Linked DNA regions of Caenorhabditis elegans. The protein of the gene in region 2 purifies or fractionates together with the protein of the main gene of each other region. This does not show direct contact. Each region holds a gene or a part of one and is shown on either strand. Other genes may lie near its edges.

What was found. Proteins that work in one complex are often made in the same cells at the same time.
Region 1: the proteins of C13F10.7 (region 2) and atf-6 fractionate together in Caenorhabditis elegans (co-fractionation; one large-scale study listed by BioGRID). This does not show direct contact.
Region 3: the proteins of C13F10.7 (region 2) and T10D4.11 fractionate together in Caenorhabditis elegans (co-fractionation; one large-scale study listed by BioGRID). This does not show direct contact.

What each region holds. Positions count from the first base shown.
Region 1 is NC_003284.9:12,478,209-12,487,503, reverse strand, and holds atf-6 (Transcription factor atf-6 homolog), read right to left. Parts: upstream 6,557-9,295; coding exon 6,464-6,556; intron 6,408-6,463; coding exon 6,216-6,407; intron 5,924-6,215; coding exon 5,648-5,923; intron 5,600-5,647; coding exon 5,429-5,599; intron 5,379-5,428; coding exon 5,202-5,378; intron 5,154-5,201; coding exon 4,914-5,153; intron 4,868-4,913; coding exon 4,782-4,867; intron 4,733-4,781; coding exon 4,502-4,732; intron 4,270-4,501; coding exon 4,053-4,269; intron 3,319-4,052; coding exon 3,232-3,318; 3' UTR 2,600-3,231; downstream 1-2,599. Other genes in the region: tbc-13 (TBC1 domain family member 13), read right to left, coding at 2,157-2,450. UniProt on the Caenorhabditis elegans protein: Transcription factor. Plays a role in the unfolded protein response (UPR), perhaps mainly during constitutive endoplasmic reticulum (ER) stress, by activating transcription of genes involved in the UPR.
Region 2 is NC_003283.11:7,220,615-7,227,330, reverse strand, and holds C13F10.7 (CCHC-type domain-containing protein), read left to right. Parts: upstream 1-4,078; coding exon 4,079-4,193; intron 4,194-4,392; coding exon 4,393-4,464; intron 4,465-4,513; coding exon 4,514-4,995; 3' UTR 4,996-5,273; downstream 5,274-6,716. Other genes in the region: gei-6 (GEX Interacting protein), read left to right, coding at 497-794; fkb-3 (peptidylprolyl isomerase), read right to left, coding at 1,102-1,530, 1,606-1,962; C13F10.1 (50S ribosomal protein L6), read right to left, coding at 2,390-2,401, 2,450-2,593, 2,963-3,253; kxd-1 (KxDL domain-containing protein), read right to left, coding at 5,274-5,317, 5,367-5,569, 5,619-5,701, 5,760-5,852; C13F10.6 (FTH domain-containing protein), read left to right, coding at 6,352-6,486, 6,541-6,679.
Region 3 is NC_003280.10:3,145,833-3,152,497, reverse strand, and holds T10D4.11 (CW domain-containing protein), read left to right. Parts: upstream 1-2,876; coding exon 2,877-2,991; intron 2,992-3,037; coding exon 3,038-3,177; intron 3,178-3,224; coding exon 3,225-3,460; intron 3,461-3,506; coding exon 3,507-3,550; intron 3,551-3,598; coding exon 3,599-3,741; intron 3,742-3,787; coding exon 3,788-3,990; intron 3,991-4,050; coding exon 4,051-4,066; downstream 4,067-6,665. Other genes in the region: T10D4.19 (T20D4.11-like domain-containing protein), read right to left, coding at 29-385, 431-580; T10D4.14 (G_PROTEIN_RECEP_F1_2 domain-containing protein), read left to right, coding at 783-872, 922-1,000, 1,045-1,162, 1,220-1,277; T10D4.1 (DUF19 domain-containing protein), read right to left, coding at 1,809-2,006, 2,054-2,193, 2,250-2,358; T10D4.15 (CW domain-containing protein), read right to left, coding at 5,733-5,938, 6,004-6,064, 6,242-6,346.

The DNA of each region.
Region 1 (9,295 bases), on a different chromosome or scaffold from region 2:
CATTTCACATGGACTTGATTTGTGAAGGGCGCGTAAGGAACAAAGTAACAAAATGTGTCACTCAGCATACGAAACCGGTATAAACAGATGGTGAACCCAACGAGGAACTTTTTCAAATTTAAATAATCTCAAGTAGTTATCTTTTGATCAGTATAAGAACTTGAGATGAAATATCCTTTACATTCCATTCAATTTTGTCCATTCGAACGATTACGCAAAAATACACGCCATATCTCAAGTACAAAAATTGTTTTAGTGTTAGATTAGCGCTTTTTAATTCTTCATTCATTTTTTAGAGTGCTCAAGTTTTAGGAGATTTAATATTGTTCTATTTCTCTCTTACCAATTAAAAATGAATAAAATATCAAAAATGGATTTGTTGAGTGCACACTTTTAAACATCATAGGAATGATCAATTAAATGTTAGTGATAGAATTGAAGATTCTATCCATTCAAATTCTAAATGGTCTGGGAGAATTCGATATATGAAATTTGCAGTCATTGTTCATATCTTGCAAACAAATTATAAGAAGAATGAAACAACTAATAAATCAAATTGTTAAAAATAAAAATGCAATTTTGTACATAGTTTATTTTTAATTTGTATGGGATATTGTATTTTTTAAACTGATATACAGATATGAGATATGCATCATATTTTCAACTTGATGAATCATGAACAAATATGTATCTATTCTTAATTTCATTAACTTGTATTGGTGTGTAATGTATTTAGTTGTATGCGTAAAAAAAGTATAGATAATCTCTTTGAAATAAGATTAAAAGCTACAAATCCTTAATTATTCAACATATTTCTTTTTGAGCTCATATATGGTTCTTGCTCTTAGGTGGCATACTAAGCTTTCTATTTTGAGCTGTTCCTATAATAGTATAAATTGTGATGTTTAATTTCTTATCCGCCACCTACACTTTCGGAGCGCTTGGGAAAACCGAACTGAGGGAGTAGATTAAAGGTTCTGAGAAGAAAAAACGTTTCCGCACTTGATATTCGAAAGTTCCCACGTATCTTAGAGTCATAAAGTTTTGTGTCGCACCTACGCAAAAAACAGAACACAAGTTTTGTTTTTTTTTCTCTTTTTGAACTAACGAGGGATGCACCTTTTCGAAATATTGATATCGTTTTGAATCTAAAGAATTTCTAAAAAACGGGATCATGGAAATTTAGAAAAAAAAAAGGGTTCTTGGCTAAACAAAATGGACTTACAACTTTAAAAGCAAACGTTTTTCGTTGTTAATTCGAGTATCAATTTTTTTACATTCAAATCAAAATAAATATAATAATAAATACTAGTTTGGAAACTAAGTTCAGAACAGTCAACAATCCAAATAGTTTCGCAAATTGGTCAGAAAGAAATACCAGATGAACTTAACCCATGCGATTACTGTAGCGCACCTCAAAATGAGAAAAATGAAACATCTCTAACTTGTGAACTACTGAGTGGAAAGTCCCGGATAGGTTGGTGATAGATAATTCAATTTTCAAAAAATTAATCTTTATTTCTAGAAGTCATATCTCTTTTTATGGATTAAAAACTTGTTATTCAGTTTTGCTTGTGTCAATTTCAATGCTTTAAAAAAATAATGTTATATCGTAGCTAATAAAGTATATTACATCATTCGGCAAACTGATAGAGTAAAAAGGTTATGTTTTAACTGGATTGATTTGACACACCATCCATAAAATTTTAACTGTGGAGTAGTGCTAATAGAAAATTTTGAAACCACTTTAACATTGCCAAAATAATGAAGTTTGATGGAAAAATTGTTTGAAAATTACATTGTTTACAGTCGAAAAGTTCACTTAGTCCTCACATACATATTACAATTTTAGAAAAACTGTGTCTATAATTTTCAAGTTTTGAGTCTATTTTAATAAATTGTATCTAGACATTGTAGGATTCAAACAAGTAATTTTTATAGACAGGTTGAAAACTCAAATTTTGTATAAATTCTTTCAATTTGAAGTTTTTTTTTGAAATCTTGTTTGTCATGTAATTTCAAAAGTGTATTTGCCTTTAAAAACAACTTTTTGGGGAATAACATATTTGAATACAAGAATCTATGGGATGTCTACATTATTTCTTTCTTTTATTTAACTTGAATTCTTTAAACTTTAACGAAACAACAAAACATACATGATCATTATCCTGATTTTGAGCAGCACTTTGCTGCAAAGACGCTGTTCCCGGCTCCACGATTATCTGCTCAATCATCTGATCGTAGTTATCTCTCTGTTCGGCCAAAAATGTTTGCCACTTGTGACGCTCCAATGGGAGATAGTGCAGAAGCAAACGCCATGCCAACGGTCGCAGAGATTCGGGAACTCCGTAGCTACACCCGGCTCTCAATTCGTTAATATCGATTTTCTTATTTGCAATGAGAAGTACCTCCTCGATTTTTGCAAGACGTTCCATATATCGAGACGTCATTCTGAAAGGTAGAGGTAGAAGGTGAAAAAGGTTTTAAAAAAAAAAGAAAGGAGGAGAAAAGACAACATAGGTAGAAACAAACGGAAAATAACAAAGCTAGTAGAAAAACCAGTGCAGGTAAACATAGAACCCAATTTTTCGTTTGAAACTAATATTTTGAACCCTTCATTTAGATAATTATTGACAAGAAAAATGCAAAAATCCCAGATAATTAGGCACTTATAATTAGAATTTGAATAGAAAAAGGAACATCAAACTATATAAATTAAGACCCCGAGATTAATAAAGTGACTTTCAAAATAAAACATATCATGAAAGATGAATATCATCAATGGTGGTGTAACTGAATGACTATGTTATGAGAATTGGGTGATTTCAACTAGAACTTGGTGAGACAATGACTGGCATATTTTGTATGGAGTTTTGTGGTTGATAAAATTCTGAAAAACTGGTAAAATGATGAGAAAACGAATGGTAATTAATATACAATACATATGTGTTGGAATAGGAATAAGACTGAGATAAGAGAGTTTGAGAGAAATAAAGACAATCGAAAAAGACCGGAATATGATTGATGTAAAGTGAGAGACGCAGCGAAAACGGGTACAACAAAAAGAGGTTGATCGGTGACCGGCGATTTCAGAAATGCATAATGAATATTTAACATAAAAGATTGATAAAAACGAATCAAAAGAAGAAAGGTAAAGTGGGTGAATAAAAAAGGCACGGAAATTGAGAAAAGTGGGAATATAATAAGCGTAGTTGTTGATCAATATCAGTATCACGGCATCAAATATGAAAGTTGCTTGTTGGAAAGTGTCAATTGGCCAGTCCCTGTCACTTCACAATCAACTCGAAGAAGAGTATACTGAAAATTGAACTCAATAAAACTGAAGTGAACCTACATATGAATCTAGCTAAAAGCTGCACATATTACGAAACTGGTTTAAAAATTGCAGCTGTTGAACACATGCCGAGTAAAACCTATCCGTTAAATCTCACGCAGGCAAGCACAAGCAATATTCCTACATGATATCTCAGAGTTGTAAAATCAATTTTTAAACTGGTTGAATAAATTTTATTTTATTAACTGCAACTTGTAAAAGCTTGGAATTATTCAACAGTTTTAGAGCTCTACTTTGGTAATTTTTTTTGTCAAAATTCTGGCAATTCAAAATTAAACATATAAAGTTACAGTTAATACTCTATAGATCCATAGAATGAAAGAAACCGTTAATCCAAAAATCAAAAAAAAAATTTCAAAGTCTCTCTTTCTAATAACGATGCAACGTAACACTAGTGACATTTTTGATAATATCTACACAAATATAACTGCTCCTACTACTTGAACGTTCAAATTGATTTTAAAAAAACTACAATCAACCAATGGCTGTGATCAATTCATTTCTAAATCTCAAATTAAAGTCACTGTAAAAAATAACTCGCATTGAACGTCAGGAAACTTACAGAGACATGAGAATTTTGCAATTAATATATTTTTTCTGATACTGAAGGCAAATTTGACAGTTGTGAAATCAATGCCTACAGTTTAACAAAAATATTTTTTTTTACTAATCATATTTTTTTGAACTCCCTAGTTACCTGATCTTGGAGAGTTCCATTCATTGGAACACTAGGCAGGAGCAACGATAGTTTGGGAACCGAGTTTGCTCCTTTAATCAATGAAGGCAGAAGCACGTAGTCTTGAAGTGTCATAATGTACAGTGTATCTCCCTTTTGGCGAACAATTGAAGCGATTTTGTCAATATCTTGTCGTTTACGTTGAATTTTCTCGTTATCCAGTTGAATATTGTTTCCGCTTTAAATTAATTATTATTTACATGTTATTGAAATAGTTTTGTTGTTTGCTGCTGGAATTGCAAATGCATTTGAATAATTTTCAATTGGTCCGACTTCTTCGTTTGCAATTACGGTCATGTCATCTCAATACAAAGTGAACAAAGTAAAACATGAACTCGAAGTTCGATTACGTCGGTAGTGTGCCCATTCGTGTCATTATGAATTTTAAATTAAAGAAAAAGTCTACTTACGTCTTCAGTAGATCCAACTGCTTCCATGTACGTTCCCGAGATCTGAGCGCCGCTTGCTCTGATTTCTTTTGAACCGCCAATGTCTGTGGTCCATAAACTGAGGCTGGTTTTACTTTCTGTGCGTAGTTGAACTTTCGCATTGCTTCCTTATTTAATAGTCCTCCCGAAAACTTCATTGGAACATTATCAAATGAATGTACTTGTACCCAGCGCTCAATGTCGTTGTTTACTCTGAAAAGAGTAGTCAGTTATAAAAATTGTTCATTTTCAAGTCCCTCACCTTATTGTCTCTGTGGCGTTTAGTTTGTACATATCACAATCATTTTGAGTGGAGTTCGGATAGTTGTGGATTGGTTGTTGAGTAGGCTAAACTTTTATAAGAGATTTTTAAATATTAAGCTCGTACACATACAATTTTTGCAACAGGAGCACTATCTTCATACGTGATGACTCTTCCGTGGCGAGCAACCATAGAAGTTTCGTTGGAAATTGCCATGATTTGATTGTTTATATTCAAATTGTTATCGACATTAAATGGAGAGATGACTGCAAAAAGTCCGAACATCATTAGTACTGAACCAGCAGCAATAATTCTTTTTTTCTTCTGATTTCTTCCAAAGGGTTGTGGAACTTCGACAACTGGCTCTTCGTGCTGAAAATGTATTTTAAAATGTTAAAATTTTTATGAGTTCAGAACTACTTCAAAAAACGCAAGGCGTTGCTTCAAAGCGGCATTCTCAGTTCTTAGAATCTCGTTTTCTTGAAGCAGTTCCTGAAGGTTCATTTTCATATGTTCATCGGCTTCCTTCTTGCGCATGCGAGAGGCTTGGGCGTACATTCGGTTCCGAATTTTTCGATTTTGCTCGGAAGTAAAAACCTGGAAATTGTAAAGTCATGAATTTAAATATGTTTTGAAGATAAGCTCACTTGTGGTTCTGCTTTGATATCTACTGTCGGAGCAATTGGAACGTATCTTGGCTCTTCGGACACTTGTCGAACCAGCGGACCACTTTTTGGTTGCATATGAATTTCTTGAACCGGCTCATTGTAATACATTTGCTTGATTTGGCGTTGCGTAGCTTGTGAAGGAGATGGCATCTGAAAAAAATTCGAATAAACTATTTTACTTGACGTTCAATCGCTCACCAAGGGCTGAACAACTCGGTATGTTTGTTGCTGACTGCCGGGTGATTCCTTGACGCGGTATACTTTCTGGATTGGTCTGCTGACAATACGTTTCACAGGCTGTGACTGTTTGGGGAGAATTGTGATAATTCGTTTTTGTTGCATGGGCAAATGCTTGGCCGGTTCTTCTCTGAGGTATCTTGCGTTCATGAATTCATTGGTGGGCTCGGCAATCACTTCGTCGTCCTGATATGGAGAGCCAAATTGTTGCTCAAAATTCTCGAATGGACTGCGACTCTGCAAAACAAACGACTAAGTATGATATTGATAGATTAGGATTTTGTAGTTGATATTAAATTTTGAACAAGATTTTGTGTAGTATCCGTACCCCGAAATTAAAAGTAAAGTAATTCTGTAGGAAAATTTTGTCTTCGTGCTAAGTTTTCATGGTAGGAGCAAACATCATACACACAACAACTTGCATGTAAGGTTGTTTAAAATAAAACACATTTCCATTAAACAATAGAGTGTAAACGATCCGTTTCGACAAACATTTTTAACGAGTTTTGTGCGAAAAAAAACAACTTACTTGAAAGCCAAAATCCCACATTTCCTGGTCATTTTCTGTGAAGTTTGCACAACTCAACGGTGGAGAGCTATCCGACGAAGAATCTCCTAAACTCCCGCCGTCTCTTGAGCGAAATCCAGCATTCTGATCACTGAAACCAAACGAAGAGGAAGAGGTCGATTCTTGTGATTCGTCGGTCCCGTAAAGTAGGCTCTGAAAATCGATATTTTGTATTAGTGGTCCTTTCAAGACACAGAAAGAAAACTCACGTCCAACTCTAGCTGGTCAAATTGCGGCGGAAAATTTGGGTTATGCAGGAGATCATCAAAGTTTGATTCATGAACCGTATTGTCAAAGTTCATCTGAAATTTAAAAAGTTTTTGAAATACAGTGTTAGAGAAAAAAAAGAGAAGAATAGGTTTCTAAAGACAAATAATCCTAAAACTCAATCACATTTTTAGAAACTGGTAAGATTAAAAAAAAAATCTTAGATATATCTCAATAGCAAGAAACGAAAATCAGGTAGATGAAAGAAGTGACCATGAAAAAAGGAGGGCAAGACGATTAAGGATAGCATCCAATGAAATATCAACGGAGCGCGTTTGCACACGACCCCGGCTGGCACACTGCCAGTACGCCGGTCAAACGACCGGAGAGGCAAGGGGGGGGGGGGCAGAGTCAGAGAAAAAGAGTCCCCGGCACAGTGACAGTGAGAAGGCCACCACAGTAGATGAGGACGAGGTGGCGCTCTCGCAGTGTTTGTTCTGTCGCAGAATTTTTGTTGCGGAGGAAGAGGAGTGGGCAAGCGAAAATGGAAGACGGACAAAAAATGGAAAGTGGGTCACTAAAAGTATAGTAGTAAGGTAATAAACGGGGAAGGGATAGCGGCTATATTACTTTACGATCTTATTTTATAAACCAAATAAAGAAACCACTAATTAAAGCAAAAATTCATAGAAAAAAAAATGATATACTGTATTTTCTCTACTTGTCTTTAGTTTTTATTTCGGTTGTGCATAATTTTATCAGTCATTGACTAATACTGTTTGCCTTCTTTTCTAAAGCTCAACAGACGAACATCCACTGGGTTTGAAAAAAAGACCAAACCAAATTTAAGTTTTAAATTTCAATAATATGCAGAGAAAATTCTACAATATAATAGATTGTCCTGTGACTGTAGTTGTATTAGAGAAAATATTGGGTTTCCTAATAGTTTAGCATTGACTTGTTGACAGGCGAGCAATACTTTGTGGAATATTTGTTTTGTAAACTTTTTTGTTTTTAGGGTAAAGTCAATTTTCGAAGTTAAAATGGCCATTGAAATTCCTAATGGAAAAACATTCATATTTTTAGTTGGCGTCAAATCAGTTTCACAAAAATAATTCTTGCAATTTATATTAATCTTACACCCCTACAATTTGATGGAAAATTAGTACGGTAGTAAGGTAGGCGATATTGCAATGTTTGTATGTATACAATTTAATTTTCAAATACAAAATTCGATAACCGCGCAACTACACTAATAAGAAATCTCTAAATACTTTGAAAAATAACTTTTTAGTGAACCCCAAGTATTTTTTCCGACAATTTTCTTCAAATATTAAACAATGTCTTCTAGAAAACCAAACCAATAAAAAGCAAATCATGAGAAATTTTTTTCCAAGAAAGGAACACTTTCAAATAATATCGACGACGAAAACTTTTATTGTGTATACTCTTGCAAGTGGCTTTGAAAGTTCTGGTATTTCTTCACATCACACTTTGATTTGTTAGTACATAAAAGCTAACATTTCTTGTCAAAACTGTTCCAAAAGTAAAAGTATCAACAAGAATGATCTTATAAACAATACACAAGAAATATGAACCTCTGTTGATTAAATTTACCCCGCAGTGAAAAACAAACACTTTGCATTAGTATACACAAAAAGAACGAGTGGAAAAAAAACGACGTGACGTGTAGCATAGTAGCACCAAATGGAACCGCACTTCATTTGAATAAAATAAAAGTGCAAGTGAACACTTTTTGGCTAGGACTACACTAATCGTCGTCGAGAACGGCCGGGGGATGCTAAGTGTGTTACTATGGCATTGAATTATGTACGAGGACCAATGTGCACTTGTGTGTGCTTTTGGGCAATCCAAGCAGCGATTCATAAAATAAATTGTGTGGGGTGGAAAGTGGGCGATGCTTTGTGAAATAAAAAAAATTAAATTGAAAGCTAGTGATGACCTTTCAAATTCAGAAGCTTCAACCATAAAAAGTGATTAAACATGATGCTATGGAATAATATAACTGGTGAAGCTACTACAATAAAATGTTAAAAAATAAAAAAAAGTACTTGAAGGATATAACGCGAGTTGCTGTGAAAAAAATGTCTTCCCTTTTTTAGGGGAAAAACATTTGTAAAATCTTCATCGTTTTCACTATTAAAAAAATATTTTAAGTGAAAAAATTATTTTGAAAAATGAATGTTGCTCAAAATTTAAACTTAAACTGGAAAACAATTGGTTATACTTTTAAAAAATATTTTCATAAAACCGTCCTATCATTATAGAAAACACGTGAAAGGACAATTCTGATACTACCTGAAACATAAAGTGCTTGTTATCGAATACCCTCTCCTCTGTTAATATTTAAAGAGTAACGTTGTTAATTTTATTGTTATCAGCAAGTGTATTCATCATAACAGGGTATTTATAACATATGAAACAGGGCATACAATTCATATTGTTAGTGCAAACGAGAAAGAAAATAAAGCAGGAAAACGGGGGGACGCAAACAAATTTGAACAACTGTTGAATATAATAGATTAAACTAGTAATATGTGTATCTATCGTAGAAGTCAATTTCCGGCAAAATCGGTCTAAAGCTTTATTGAAAAAATGCACTCATATGTTTAGCATTTTAAAAAATCTAATATCTCTGGTAACGGCTCTCTAATTAGATATGTTATAATTCCAATTCCATGTCAAAAATGAACGTTATTTTAGTTTTCTAGAAGCTTTTGCAGAGTTTTAGTTACATTAGTTTTTGTTTCAAGTATTGGTTTTCAACTTCTAAAACGCATTTTTTAACGGCTGACAAAATACTAGAATATTCG
Region 2 (6,716 bases):
TCGCAAATGAGTGACGTCATTTTCGCGTTTTCAGGCGATACTGATTTTTTATAATATGAAACTTTATTTGTCAGTTGTCAAACATTTTTCCGTAAAGAAAACGTGAAAATTCGAAATAAATTCGCTGAAACTTTAAAATTAGCCTGAAATTCGATAATTTATATTTGAAACACTTTTGTGCGGAAAAATGTCTAAAAATTGATAAATTATGTTTTTATAAAATTTATATTATAAAATTTAAAAAATGAAGAAAAACCAATCAGTATGGCCGAAAAACGCAAAAATGTCGAAAATTATGCCACTCATGTAATTCAGAAATAATTCATCCCTTCTTATTTTTTTCAAAATTGGAGAAATCATTAAAAATGTACAAATTTTTTAACAGTTATTTATATTCGATGCAGTGAGAATGTTCTCTGTCATTTAGGGCAAAATACCCATCAGATGAATTCCAAACCATAAGTTATTCAGTTTTAATATCCAATTTCAATTTTAGCAGCTTCTCCGACCTACCATGGCATCGAGCTCAAGATACTCCATTCGGAAAAGTTCCTATACAGGACAATTTTGCGATGAGTGGACCACGTCCGATGCCTCCGCGTCCTATGCCACCTCAACAATCTCCGTTCTTTAATAATGCTCCTGGAAACGGCTTCTATCCACCACAACCACGTGATTTTTCCCCGCCGCAACCTCCACAACAATCTCGAATGTTCCCACCGTCTCAGCCACCATTTGGATACGCTGGGCCTCCGAATCAAGGACGAGGAAACCCACGTTCATTTTACGGCTAAAATGCTCTTTCAGGACTCACCTTGTTCAATTCCTCTAATCGATCGCAAAGATCTCATCTAGTACTATTTTATAAGTAGTGTGTTTTAATTTTATAAATACCTGATGTATAGTTTTTGCTTTTTATACAATTCCTTTTTTCGTAATGAACTGTTTTAAAATTACTTATTCTTTTTAGATATTTTATATTCATTTCTTGTGTTCAGTGGATCACAATTGTGTACTTTTTCTTTTATTCATTTTAATACAAATTTATTGTTCTATTAAAAATAAGTTAGAAATTCATGAAAGTTGGGATTTTCAGTTAATCTAGAGTTCCTCTTTTCCTGGTCTGACAAGTTTCTCAAGTGAGAGATCGAAGTGAAGGTACGAGTTTCCTGGAATTGCTGGAGGTCTTCCATTTTCTCCATAAGCGAGCTCTGGTGGAATAACAACTTTTCTCTTCTCTCCCTGACACATTCCTTCCATGGCAATGTCCATTCCCTTGATAACTTGTCCGGAGCCCATTTTGAAGATAAATGGACGATTGCGGCTCCAGCTCGAATCGATGAAAGATCCATCCTCGAGATTTAGTGTGTACTGTTGATGAAGTGTATCTCCGGCTTGAGCCTTTTCGGTGCATCCCTCTACCTCGTGAGTAATGTGAATGTGAACTCCTTCATCAGTGATCCACTTGGCTCCGGGTTTTGGACGGAAGATTGATTTCAGCTCGACGAAGTAGTATAGAGTTTCTCCTTTCTAGAATAGTACAAATTACCATTTTATTTGTTTTGCAATTTAAAAATAGATTTTAAAAAATATAAATCAACTTACTCCTTCTACTTCATCTCCATCTTCGTCGAATCCTTGCTCTGGTGGAATGATCACTTTTCGCTGTTCGCCGACACACATTCCCTCCATTGCAATTTCCATTCCATGAATCACCTCGCCTTTTCCAAGAGTGAAAGTGTACGGCTTTTGGCCAAAGTTGCTTCCAATCACCTTACCTTCCTTGTCGGAAAGCTTGTAAAATTGCTCCAATTGATCTCCAGACTCGGATTTGATTTTGCATTTTGAGTCTCCAATTTTCTTGATAATTTCAATCTTGACACCTTCATCAGTGGTCCATGAACGGTCATTTGCTGCCCAACAGATGGCAAATAATGCTGAGGCAATAATTGATTTCAGCATTTTTGTGCTGGTTCGGTTTAGTCACTGAAATGGTTACTTAATTGTTGTAAATAGGCGGAATAAGTTACAAGAAAAGAAAAATCAAAACTTTTGAATTCAAAAGCACTACACGTGGAAGGAAAAGAAGGAAGCAACGACCGTCTTGCAAGTGTCTCCTTCCACTCATCTAGTTTATTCCGTTCTCGGTGGCTACCGCCACATCTCCTCTTCAGGTTTTGTTGCCGCGCAGTCCGAAGCCTGAGAGACGCAGATGAGAGACCTTCACCTTTTTATCTGCGCATTGGATCGGTTGTTTTATCAGAGAGATACTTGTTTTTTATTCACCACAAATCAATAAGTTATAGGTAACACAATTGGGAACGATTTAATGACGTGGCAAGATTATGGAAAGAGTGCGGTTTTTTTTTGGTTGGCATAAGTATTGAGATTATCGGGATCTCTGAAAATTAAAACTAGTTAGGTTTTTTGGGAAAATGAAATTTCTCACTTTGGAATTCAAATTGACTCGTTCTGTAAAACTTGTGTAGATGAGATTTCCAACTACCAAAAGTATCAATGATAACGATATGAAAATAACAAATCCGGCGGAGACACGGATCATAAGAGCAGCATAGTCGTATGGTTTCTCGATCTGAAAATCGGAAACTTTTTTTCCTAGTTGAACAATGCCTCTTTTTTGAGAAGGTAATTTTCAAATATTATATAACCAACAAAATTAACACTGTGGTTACGGTAGTATTTACAAAGTTACTGTAGACGTCGCAACGAGATATTCATTGTGCCAAATATGCTGCACAGTTCGTATAATTTCTGGCGGTTGCGTAATATATCGCAATTTTTAATCTCCTAAACTTCTCACTTGAAGGTACACGAATTCATTCATATAGGTCTCACCGCGAGGAAAATAGATCGTATTTTTTTATAATGAATATTAAAGATTTATTTATAACTCATAAATAAGAGAAAACTAGATTATTTCTTCAAATATAATAGGACTCACCTGCATTTTGGACAGATTTACTTTTGGAAAAAGATGGCGTGCTCTGTAACGACCCACTAATCGTGGAGAAAGTAAAGTGAATTTCGAAACGACGCGACGAGAGAACGTATCATGAGCGAGAAGCCGGGCAGTGTGCTTGAGAAGAGTTTGTCGAGAGCATCTTGTGCCCAGACCCAGCGCGGGAGAAAGAAAAGAGAAAGCGGTGGGAGAGGTTTTGTATTGATTTGCGGACATATAACAGATGGGGGTGGAGCTCTTGGAGTCATTTGTCAAGCTAACTTCGATCATCATTCGTCAAATTAATTTATTGGAACACAATATAATGAATGAAAGGAAAGAGTGAATTGGAAGCGTGTCGATTTACGGAGCTCGTGTACTCCCCGAGGAAAACAGTGAATTTTTGTTTTTCAAAAAAATATATAGTTCTTTGTGAAACGATTTTCGCGAATTCTTTTGTCAGTTAATTTTGAAATCGCTAATTTGTTCAATATTTTTATAGTATTCCAAATAAAATTCGCATTATTTACTGTTGTAAATCTACGAATTCTCGTTTTCTGTGGTTTTGAGTAGTAAATTAATAGATTATCCTCGAAAAAACTCGACGAAAATACACAAAATATGAGATATTATTGACGATTTAATAATCCAGAAATTTGAAAACTTGCAGGGTTATAAACCAGGAGTGCTTTTCGAACATTTTCGAGAAGTTTGCATAAATTTGCATCAGATAATACCTTTTTTCTAATTAAAAATATTTTATTCAAAATTTCAAACAACACCGTGCTAATGTGCTCTAGTGGAAAAAATCGTATTAATTTCGAAACTTTTCATATTTCTTTCTCACTTCTTCCATTGCTGCTTTTCACTTTTCTTGATAGTTCTCTTTTTTTTTGTTGAAAAAAATCTTATTTTTAAATCTTTTCAGCATGTTTTCCAATTCTTCTATGTTCTCTGATTAAAAAGCGCCGAAAAATCGATAATTTTTCTATAAAACCCATCTTCCCTTGAGAACAGTTCTTCCCCTCTAAAACGCGCATAAAACCAGCGTCTTTTACCACCTCTTCACGTTATTTTTTGCTTATTTTTAGTACTCCCTAATATTCACTACAATTACAGATGGCGAACGCTAACCTGACTCCGATGCCGTTTGTGCGAAAATTCGGATCTACCAGTACAACTGTAACTACCACAACTGACACAGATAGCCCATTATCAAAAGATGATGAGTCAGGTAAGTAATCTTAAATTTTCAAAAATTAAATTACTATGGATTTATTCGCAAAAAAAATGTTTCCGAACAAAAAACAATTTAGGGGACGAAAAAAGCGAAAAAAAACTTTTTTGAAAACGACTCCAAAAAAGAAACTTGGTTTTTTGGAAAAAAAGTATTTATAAATTTTTCAAAAAAAAAACTCAAAATCTACTTTCAGGTAAAAAACCTTCACTTGCTTCCCTAGCACAGTCAGCGTTCCCATCAAGATACGACCCGAACGCCTTTGTAGGTACGGTAGTTCATAGGAAATTAAAATCACATAATTTGTTTAATTTCAGATATATCAGGTGCCGCAATATCTGCCCCCGCAGTCACGGGAGCATGCAAAAGATGTGGATATCCGGGTCATCTATACTTCCAGTGTCGAAATCACATTGAAGTACGTCCAAATGTATCGACAAAAGCGTACGAGGTCAGTTCGACATCATCTGAATCAAGTGACGACGAGACTCCGCTCATTGCTTTGGAAAAGCAGCGGAAAAAGGAGAAAAAGCTGAAAAAGAAGGCGAAAAAAGAAAAGAAGAAGGCGAAGAAACTCGAGAAAAAGGAGAGAAAGAAGGAACGGAAAGAGAAGAGAAGGCGACGAGATGATTCTGATGATAGTAGTGATTCTGATGAGGAAGAGGATAGAAAAAGGAAGAAGAGCAAGGAAAGTAAAAAGGAAAAAAGAAAACGCCGTCATTCTTCCTCAGATGATAGATCAGCTTCTTCCGATTCTGATGATGACTGTCGTGACTCGAAACGTCACCGTAGATCATAATCGTGTAATATTGATATTTTAACTCTAAATTTTTATTCCGACAGTAACCACCTCCACATTAATATTTTCTCTATTCAAATTTCTATTGTTTCTCTTGTGTCAAAAAGTCCCCATAGTGAAGTTACTAATTAAATTAAAAACAAAAAATTTTATAACTTATTTCGACTTCACTTTAATCAAAAATTTGAGATCTTTATTGAATTTCTGTGACTTGTATTTGTTCCAAATGATCTGTTATTTTTTTTCTTCTTGTTTTTCAATTACGAATAAATTGTATTTCATTCGTCTTCCTCGCTTCGTTTTGGCGTTAGCTCGGCTGACACTGAAATTTGATGAACTTTTTAAAAGTATTCAAATTAAAATATCTGCACCTTCAGCATAAACTTCTGGATACTTTGACGACAAAACTGTTTTGAACATGCGAATTTTTTTGAAAATAAATTCCAAATCAGTTTTCATCTGCAGAATTGTCTCTTTGTGTCCCACAGAATCCCTTTTTGCTTTTTCAATTCTTCGATCGCCGAGTTGAGCGCAATTCATGAGCATTTCATTTGTCTTTTCGAAGCGTTTCAAGCTGAAAAAAAAAGAAAAATCAATAAATTCTAAATTCTCCAGTATATTACCTCTGTCTCTGAGTATCAATTATGCTTTGAATTGTGAATTCGTCGATTTGAGAAGTGAGCGAATCGATGAGATGTGGTGTTTCCTGCATATTATTAAATATTTTTATTCCTTTTTCCCATTATTATTATTAGAAAGCTTACGGGCATGTCAAATGAAGAGCCAGCGTTGCTTCTTGATGGGAAAAACGGGTTGCCAGGTAGTCGTTCTTGTTGTTGGTGATTTTTCTCAGCCATTTATAACTGAAACAAAAAATTATTAATAAATGTTTTATTCTAGACACAACAAGACATAAAACATGAATAACGGCTGAAGCAGGGATTGAGAAAAACAAGAAAAAAGCATGAGAAAATGGAAGAAAAGAGCCGCGCGCTGTGAGTGTGCAACTCGAAAATGTCAAAGCAAATTTATCGATTTACGCACGCGCGCACTTGCTGACACGCATCTGGACGGCGTTCCGTTTCATTTGAAAATAGTTAAAATTAAGCTAATTGTTGATTTATTTATTGAATATCAATTATAAATCTTTTCACGAGAATCCATTAGTGACCACCACCACGCTCCGCTAGTCTCCCCGCACCTTTATCGATTCGATTCGGTCAACCGAATGTTTGTTCAAGCTGTTGCGCATAGATTTGTGTTCTTGTTCCGCTCATATCACATATATTTTTGCAGTTTTTGATGCCAAATGGTGAGGAAACGAAGACGTTACTATACTGGAATGACATGCTAATGATGAAGATTATCGAATTTGTTGAGAGGTTCAAAGATCGAAATTCACTGGAGCTTTCGAGTCGAAGATTGAGAGAATTGTGCTTGAAAACTCCGATTTCTGGAAATTTTGCGATTCGATTGGAAGAAGATCCTAATGTGAGATTGCTTATAATTATTTTAAACCTGTATTATAATTATGTTTTATTTCAGTGGCCATCAATTCTCACTCTTCTCATGCGACCTCGTAATTTCTCGTCCCGTCTTTCAGTTCGAAACTGTTCAGATGTTCCTGAAGATGAACGTAGCGAAATAGTAGGCTATAATTACAAGGATACTATTCAAAATCCAGGTAATTACTGCAAAAACGATAATTTTCAGGAATTTAT
Region 3 (6,665 bases), on a different chromosome or scaffold from region 2:
TCTCGAGCAACTTTTCGATAAAACCCACTTTTCGAACCATTCTCCAGTCGGCTTCTCCACAAGTCTCGGTGATCTCCTTCTTCATACACGCTGCACTTCCGAAGAACGCACCGCATACATCACCTCCTGATCTTTGCATGAATGGATCCCAGCTGACAAGGCATTCCGATCTCACTTTGTTGGCGAGCAGCTTCACGAGACACTCCTTGAAGTCAAACTCGTTGATTTCCACTCCTGGACAAACGCTGGTCTTAACACCACCTTGGTATTCAATCTCGCATTCACCATTCCGTTGGCAGAACATGTACTCATCGCACTGCTTCAGGTAGTAGTTACAACGAGTCGAGGATGTGTCCTGATGACACTGATGATAACGACTCATTCCCTGAAAAAATTTAAATTAATAATAAAAAGGTGATGTAAAACTTACTTTGCTGCAGTTTTTCCCGGTGCTGTACAATCTGAAAAATTTGTCACGGACGGAGCAATCGTGGACATTGTCAATGTCATCGTCAGAAGCCAATGGTGCTCCGAGAATGGCTCCGATAAGGATTGCGGAGAAAATAATGAACTTGATCATTATCTGAAAAAAAAACGTAAATTGGATAAAATTGAGTAGGACTGCCTAAGGGGAGGGGGCTCAGGGTCAACCAAAAAATAAATAGGTCAAGGATAAATAGGATAAATAGGATAAATAGGTAAAGGTCAAGTAAATGTTCTTTGTGTTTACAGTGTTTGGGACCTTTAAGACAACAGTTGTCATATCATTTCTAGTTTTTCGAATGTATAATGCGTTAACTGCGGTTCAAAGTCAATTGTCCAAGAGTGCCATGAGTAGGCATAAGATTGCTCTGAGAAGCCTGATAATGCAGGTACAGTGCTAAAAAGTAATAAAGCTCAAATTCCAATTCAAATTTCCAGTTCATGACTACCCCTGTCTCGTTTATCCCAGCATTCATGCTATTCGTCGTGACAAACTTTCCAACCAGATACTCACAAGGTTCGTCTCTCCACTGCATTTCGGGAAGAAATATGCATTTTTAGAGATTTCCCGGTACTCAATGATGATAGCAACTACACACTCCACGTTGAACTCATTGGTAGTCATCACAACGTATCCAGAGTTTAGAAAGATCTTCTGGAAACGGAATAATGTTATACAGTGAGTTAAATTTAGAGTTTGTGTTTTGGGACTCGTTTGCTAAAAAAATCTTTACAGAAGCTCTTTTCTGATATCATCCACGAGGCCGTCTGGTTCGAATCGGAACATTGTCTAACTTTTGCATCGGCACATCGGCATATGCCGACCTTTTTTTCGGCACTGTTCGGAATATTCACCAAAATTAATTTTTTAAACTCATAAATGCAAAGAAACTTCAAAAATTGATTAATATGTACGGAATTTATCATGTTAATTTCAATTTTACTAACTTCAATGGTAAAAGAATTTGATTTGTTTAAGAAGCTATTTAGTTTCTTTTCTAATGTGCCGAAGTGACGAGTGCCGATCGGCACAATGTGCCGACTTTTTTTTTTGAAAACGAAAGCACCAAAGTCATACAGCACAGGGCTGCCTTCTGTATCTGTGTATGAAACGGTATAAGGTCCGTCGATGGTGCACTGAATAAATTTTCCACCGCTTTTGGATTTATATACTTTGTTATCAAACTTAACAGTGTGTTAGTCAAGCTGAAATCATTTATTATTTTTAAAGCATTTCAATTAGTTTATTCCAGGTTTGAGCTCACTCAAGATGGACACTCATCGCTGGAATATTGTTAAATTAATCATGTTTTCACCTTTACCACTTACCACAATACAAAAAAGACCTTGGATTTCAGCCCATTAACAGTGTCCTCTTCGACCAGGCTGTTTGAAAAGTCCGATCCTCTATAGACAGCTCCTCTTGGATATTTTGTGATGTACCATTCATTATTTTCACAGATCACGCCGCATTGTGTAAAGATGTCAAATGGGCCGGCAGTACCAAGAACAGCTTGAACAGTCTGAACCAGGAATCTAGAAATTTTTACTGAAAGCATGGAAGACTCACTCCAAGGCCCGTAACGTCATCATCTGGCTTAGGAATTTCGGATTCTCTCCAACGAAAGGCAATTGTAGTATGAGTACCTGGCACGCACGTCGCATTCCGATTGCATCCAGCATTTTCCGTGTAAAATATGTGTTCTTCATCTATGTAGAAAAACGATTTGGTGGAGGAAAAGGTAGTAGGTAGTGCAAAAACTTACTTGTTATTAGATCAAGAAAGCTTGGACACTCACAATCGTCTTCGCATCCATATTCGTCTTCGCAGGCAACATAGCAAATGAGAAGTAGGAAAATGAGATATTGCTTCATTTCGACCATAGACAGTATAGTTTTGAGTGGCTTTTATACGGTTAGCTGATCAATAATCTTGTTAAGTGTTACTTTCCAAATGCAAATTAGAGTATTTAACCAAACATCAATGCTTGACTACTTCCGGCTTTGCGGAAATTTAAAGTTATAATTCAAGAATATACATAGACCATAATTTGAAAAGTTTAAAACTTTTTCCCATGGAAAGCAACACACCCAAGATTGGCTTACAAAAGTTTCATTAGTGATGAAAAGCGTGATAACTAAAGGGTAGGTAGGCGAATCCTTCTACCTACCTTTCTTGGTATAAGTTGGTCTGATGTCGACAAAATCTTTTTATCCGGCTCTATCTTAAAATGGCAACTGACCGAACATCTTTTGTGTTAATTAATCAAAATGTCTACAGTATTGATCTCTGGTGCTCCAACATCCTAGCTATTAACATATTAACAGATCAATTTACGAACCAACTCGGTGAATAAAAGGACAGACGTTTAGAGAATTGTTCACATGACAACATGAAAATCAAAATTTTTGCTTTTCTGGTCATATTTTTTTCGTGTTTCTGCATGGAACGTCTAGCATGTCAGAACCAGAGTTGCCCGTGCTCCAATCTCTATGACAACCTGAACGGTAAGCCAGCTGCTCTGACAGTTTAGTCGTAACTAGATGTATTCAGATGCAGAAAACACGGTATACTACGAGGGGCTAGGTTGCTCCAGAACCGTATACTGCACGGTCGGCTATTGGACGTGGCTAACTTTGTCCTGGGAGTTGTCCGACATACCCACTCCAAGTGACATTTACGAGGATACATTTGTGAGTTACAAGCACTTTAACACACCCTCAAGATTGATTACGTTTAGTTTGCTTTCACTTGGAATCATACAGACCCTATGGGGGTTTATGCCGGGGGTCCTATCACTGACCTGGTCTCTCTGTTGGGAATGCAGTGTGACCGCAGTACAAGCCAGTGGATTGTGACAAGATACCCATTTGGGTATTCCTATTTCAATCAAAACGATGAGAAGATTGTTATTGATGGGTACAGCGTGGAAGGCGTCAGATCAATAGTTTCGTCGACGGATTCACGATTTTCTTGGTACCCGTGAAATAATACGATTTAAAAAAATATATACAAGTTTCAGCGCAAATATGTGCAGATGTTCAGACCTGATGAGCTTGGTCGAGGGTATTTAAATTGGTGGGCTAGCTCTCAAGCCAACTTAATTGATTTCAGATTCGTCTGAAAATATTCTGTACACCTTTAATGGAAATCATTGCAGTAGCAATTTCACTTGTAATGCAGACTCCCAAACATTCATCCGATCTAGTTTTGACGGGTCGGAGATTCCTGGTATTGGTAATCGTACGGGTGCAATGGTAAGGGAAACCAGAATGCATCATCAACTTGACTAAACAATCTCAGCTGATTCCCACGATTCCCGAAGAAGATCAGCCAGAACACTCCTCTATAAACATTATGGTCGAACTCGGGATATATTGTCATGAAGGGGAATGGTATGTAACACAATATCCGTATGGAGTTACATACATGGATGATACTGGAACGAAATACATCACCGGAGAGGATTGGGGAGGGAAGAAATCTAAAGTTCTTGGGTTCAGATGGTAAATGATTTTGACTTTAGGTTATTTTGAATTTAACTGATTGTGAGTTTGATTTTTCAGTACAAAGTGGCCTTGAACTTCGTCGATTGTAGCAATAAATAATGTCCATGTAGACTATTGTTAAGATATCAATAAATACAATAGTCCTTCCGCACTAGACGCAGACCACATATGATGTGCAACTAATTTTATTTTGGCTTGTTAGAATGTAAGAATGTTGAAGACTGCAAAACTAATTGAGAAAATTTTGAAACACAACAGTAGTTTCTGGACAGGGCTGCCTTCTGTATCTGAATATGAATAAGGCCGCCTTTGAACCGCCAATAAGCCACTGAATATATTCTCCACCACTTTTGGTTTATATCTTTTGTTATCAATCCTAAAAGTGTGTTAGTCAAGCTGAGATCGTTTATTAATTTAATTTTTAAACGGTTCAAAAATTTGGAAAATGGGGGTTTTATTTCTGAAAGTTCTTGAAATTTGATATTATAGATCTGAGAATAAATTGTAGAAAGTCTTGAGTGGATAACATTTTTTTAACCTTTTTTTTGAGAAGTCGGGGGGGGGGGGCAGTACTAATAGAATACGGTTTAATTCAAAGTACACTGCATTCGTCATTATGTTCTTGAACAGAAAGCACACATAATTCAACAATCGTTTTAACAAAATTTCAGAAATTAAATCTTTCATCAAACAAATCTGTCTACTTTTTGACCACCTGTCAATTTTTACATATTCCGTAATAAAATTATGTTTTAAATTCAGAAAAGCTCAACATTTGCAATAAAATAGCTAGACAGTTCTGAAAGAAGAAGGCGATTATTATAGTACGTATTTCAAAAAAAAAAGGATCTTTCAGAAAATCCACATTAGTTTCGTTCTTGCGTCCCATTGGTCAACCGCGGAATTGAGAGATGATCTTCACTATTTTGTATTGTATTATTTTTTTAATGACGCCACGGGTGCCTGGGTCGTTGTAAGCGTGTAAAATACATGCAAATCTTCAACAAAAAACATTATGTTTTAAACATTTATATTAACGTTTTTGCAACGACATTGAACAATGAGTGTATGATAACCATTTATTACGACAATCGACACAATACACGACTTCTGTCCCTTTCACGGCCATTCTTTGCTGAAATTGGTATTTTATTTGTTAATGACGTAATTTAATTTCAGAGTACCAAGACATTGAGATAAAGGTGGATCTGACGTTGTCAATCTTTTCATTAACGACAATCTTTTTGCCTCTATTGTCGAAATAATAATACCCGAACGGGTATCTGGTAATGTACCAGAAATATGCAAAACATCTGTCATTGACAAGCGACTTCGTATCGCAGGCACATTGTATTCCCAACAGAGATACGAAATCAGGGTTAGTGGGCGGAAGTTGATTATAGAGCGTTCGATTCCACATTGAAGCATACTGAACTTGAAAAAATTAGCGTCTAATGCTTTGCGGAAATGTCAACGTTTGGCATTTTTTGTGACAAATCAAACTAAAAGACCTTTCAAATAATTGATGAATTATTGAAAAAGTATATATTTTTAATTTTTCTATAAAAAATTGGTTACTGTTCCAAAGTTGAGGGAAAAATACGGTAAGTGTTTTGAAAAACTGAAAAACGGAAACTTTTTTGAATAAGAATATCATTCATACTGGGGTGCACGGCAATCGAATTTCAGGCAATTTAGGTAATTTCGACAACTGCCGGAATTCCTGATAGTAGGAAATTCTAAAACCCAAAGTTGCAAAAATTGACGATTGCCGCGCATCGTTGAATCATAATCACGATTAGGCCATCTCTTATGTCACTCGGAAGACTCGGGAGGCCGGACCAACTTGCAACTGTATCCGCAACGGGGTAATGATTAGATGGGCATGTAGCACTTATAGTGCATCCCTTTCCCTCATTGTATAACATTGTGTCTCTTGAATAATCTGAAAATAGCTAGATGAAACATAAAGTAATGTAAACCTTATCTGCACGAATTACAATAGCTTACAATTGATTCTGCTGGTAAAGTTCTTGCACGGGCAGATTTGATCCTCAGGCCAGGTGCTTACCTAAAAAAGTGTGAAGAGTTTAAGAACTGAAATTAGAATTGAAGGACAATCTTCTCTGAAAACCCGAAATCATAGGGGTCTATGCTTTCAGTTAATGCTAGTTATCATGTATCCTTCCTCAGATAAAATTTAATTGGGGATTGACTAAACCCTTAATCAGAAGCTCCCACAAGTTACCTCGGGTCCAACTGTCGAAGTGACATAATCCATGGGAGGGTAATAATCAGAATTGACAACAGGGACGAAGAACATCCAAACCAAGAAAATGGTGATGAACATCATTGTGGAGAATGGTAGAAAATGTTTGAAAAGATTGCTTAAATGCTGGCTCGCTACCAAGGAACAAATCGAATCAAGGGAAATTTAATCAGAGGGGGCGGAATGGGAATTCTGTTGATGTTCTGCTGACGTATGATTGGAATTGGGCAATATACTCCGTGTTTAGTCAGCGCATTCTGTTTTTGCTAGAATACAATTTCAATCGATTGAAGGAAAGTTGACAGTTGGTGAAACAGCTGAAATAGTATGATGGACAAATTTCTTGATCAACTTTGCTTGTGGCTCCTGTGAAAAAAAATGTAGAAAATGTTTTTTTTTCGTT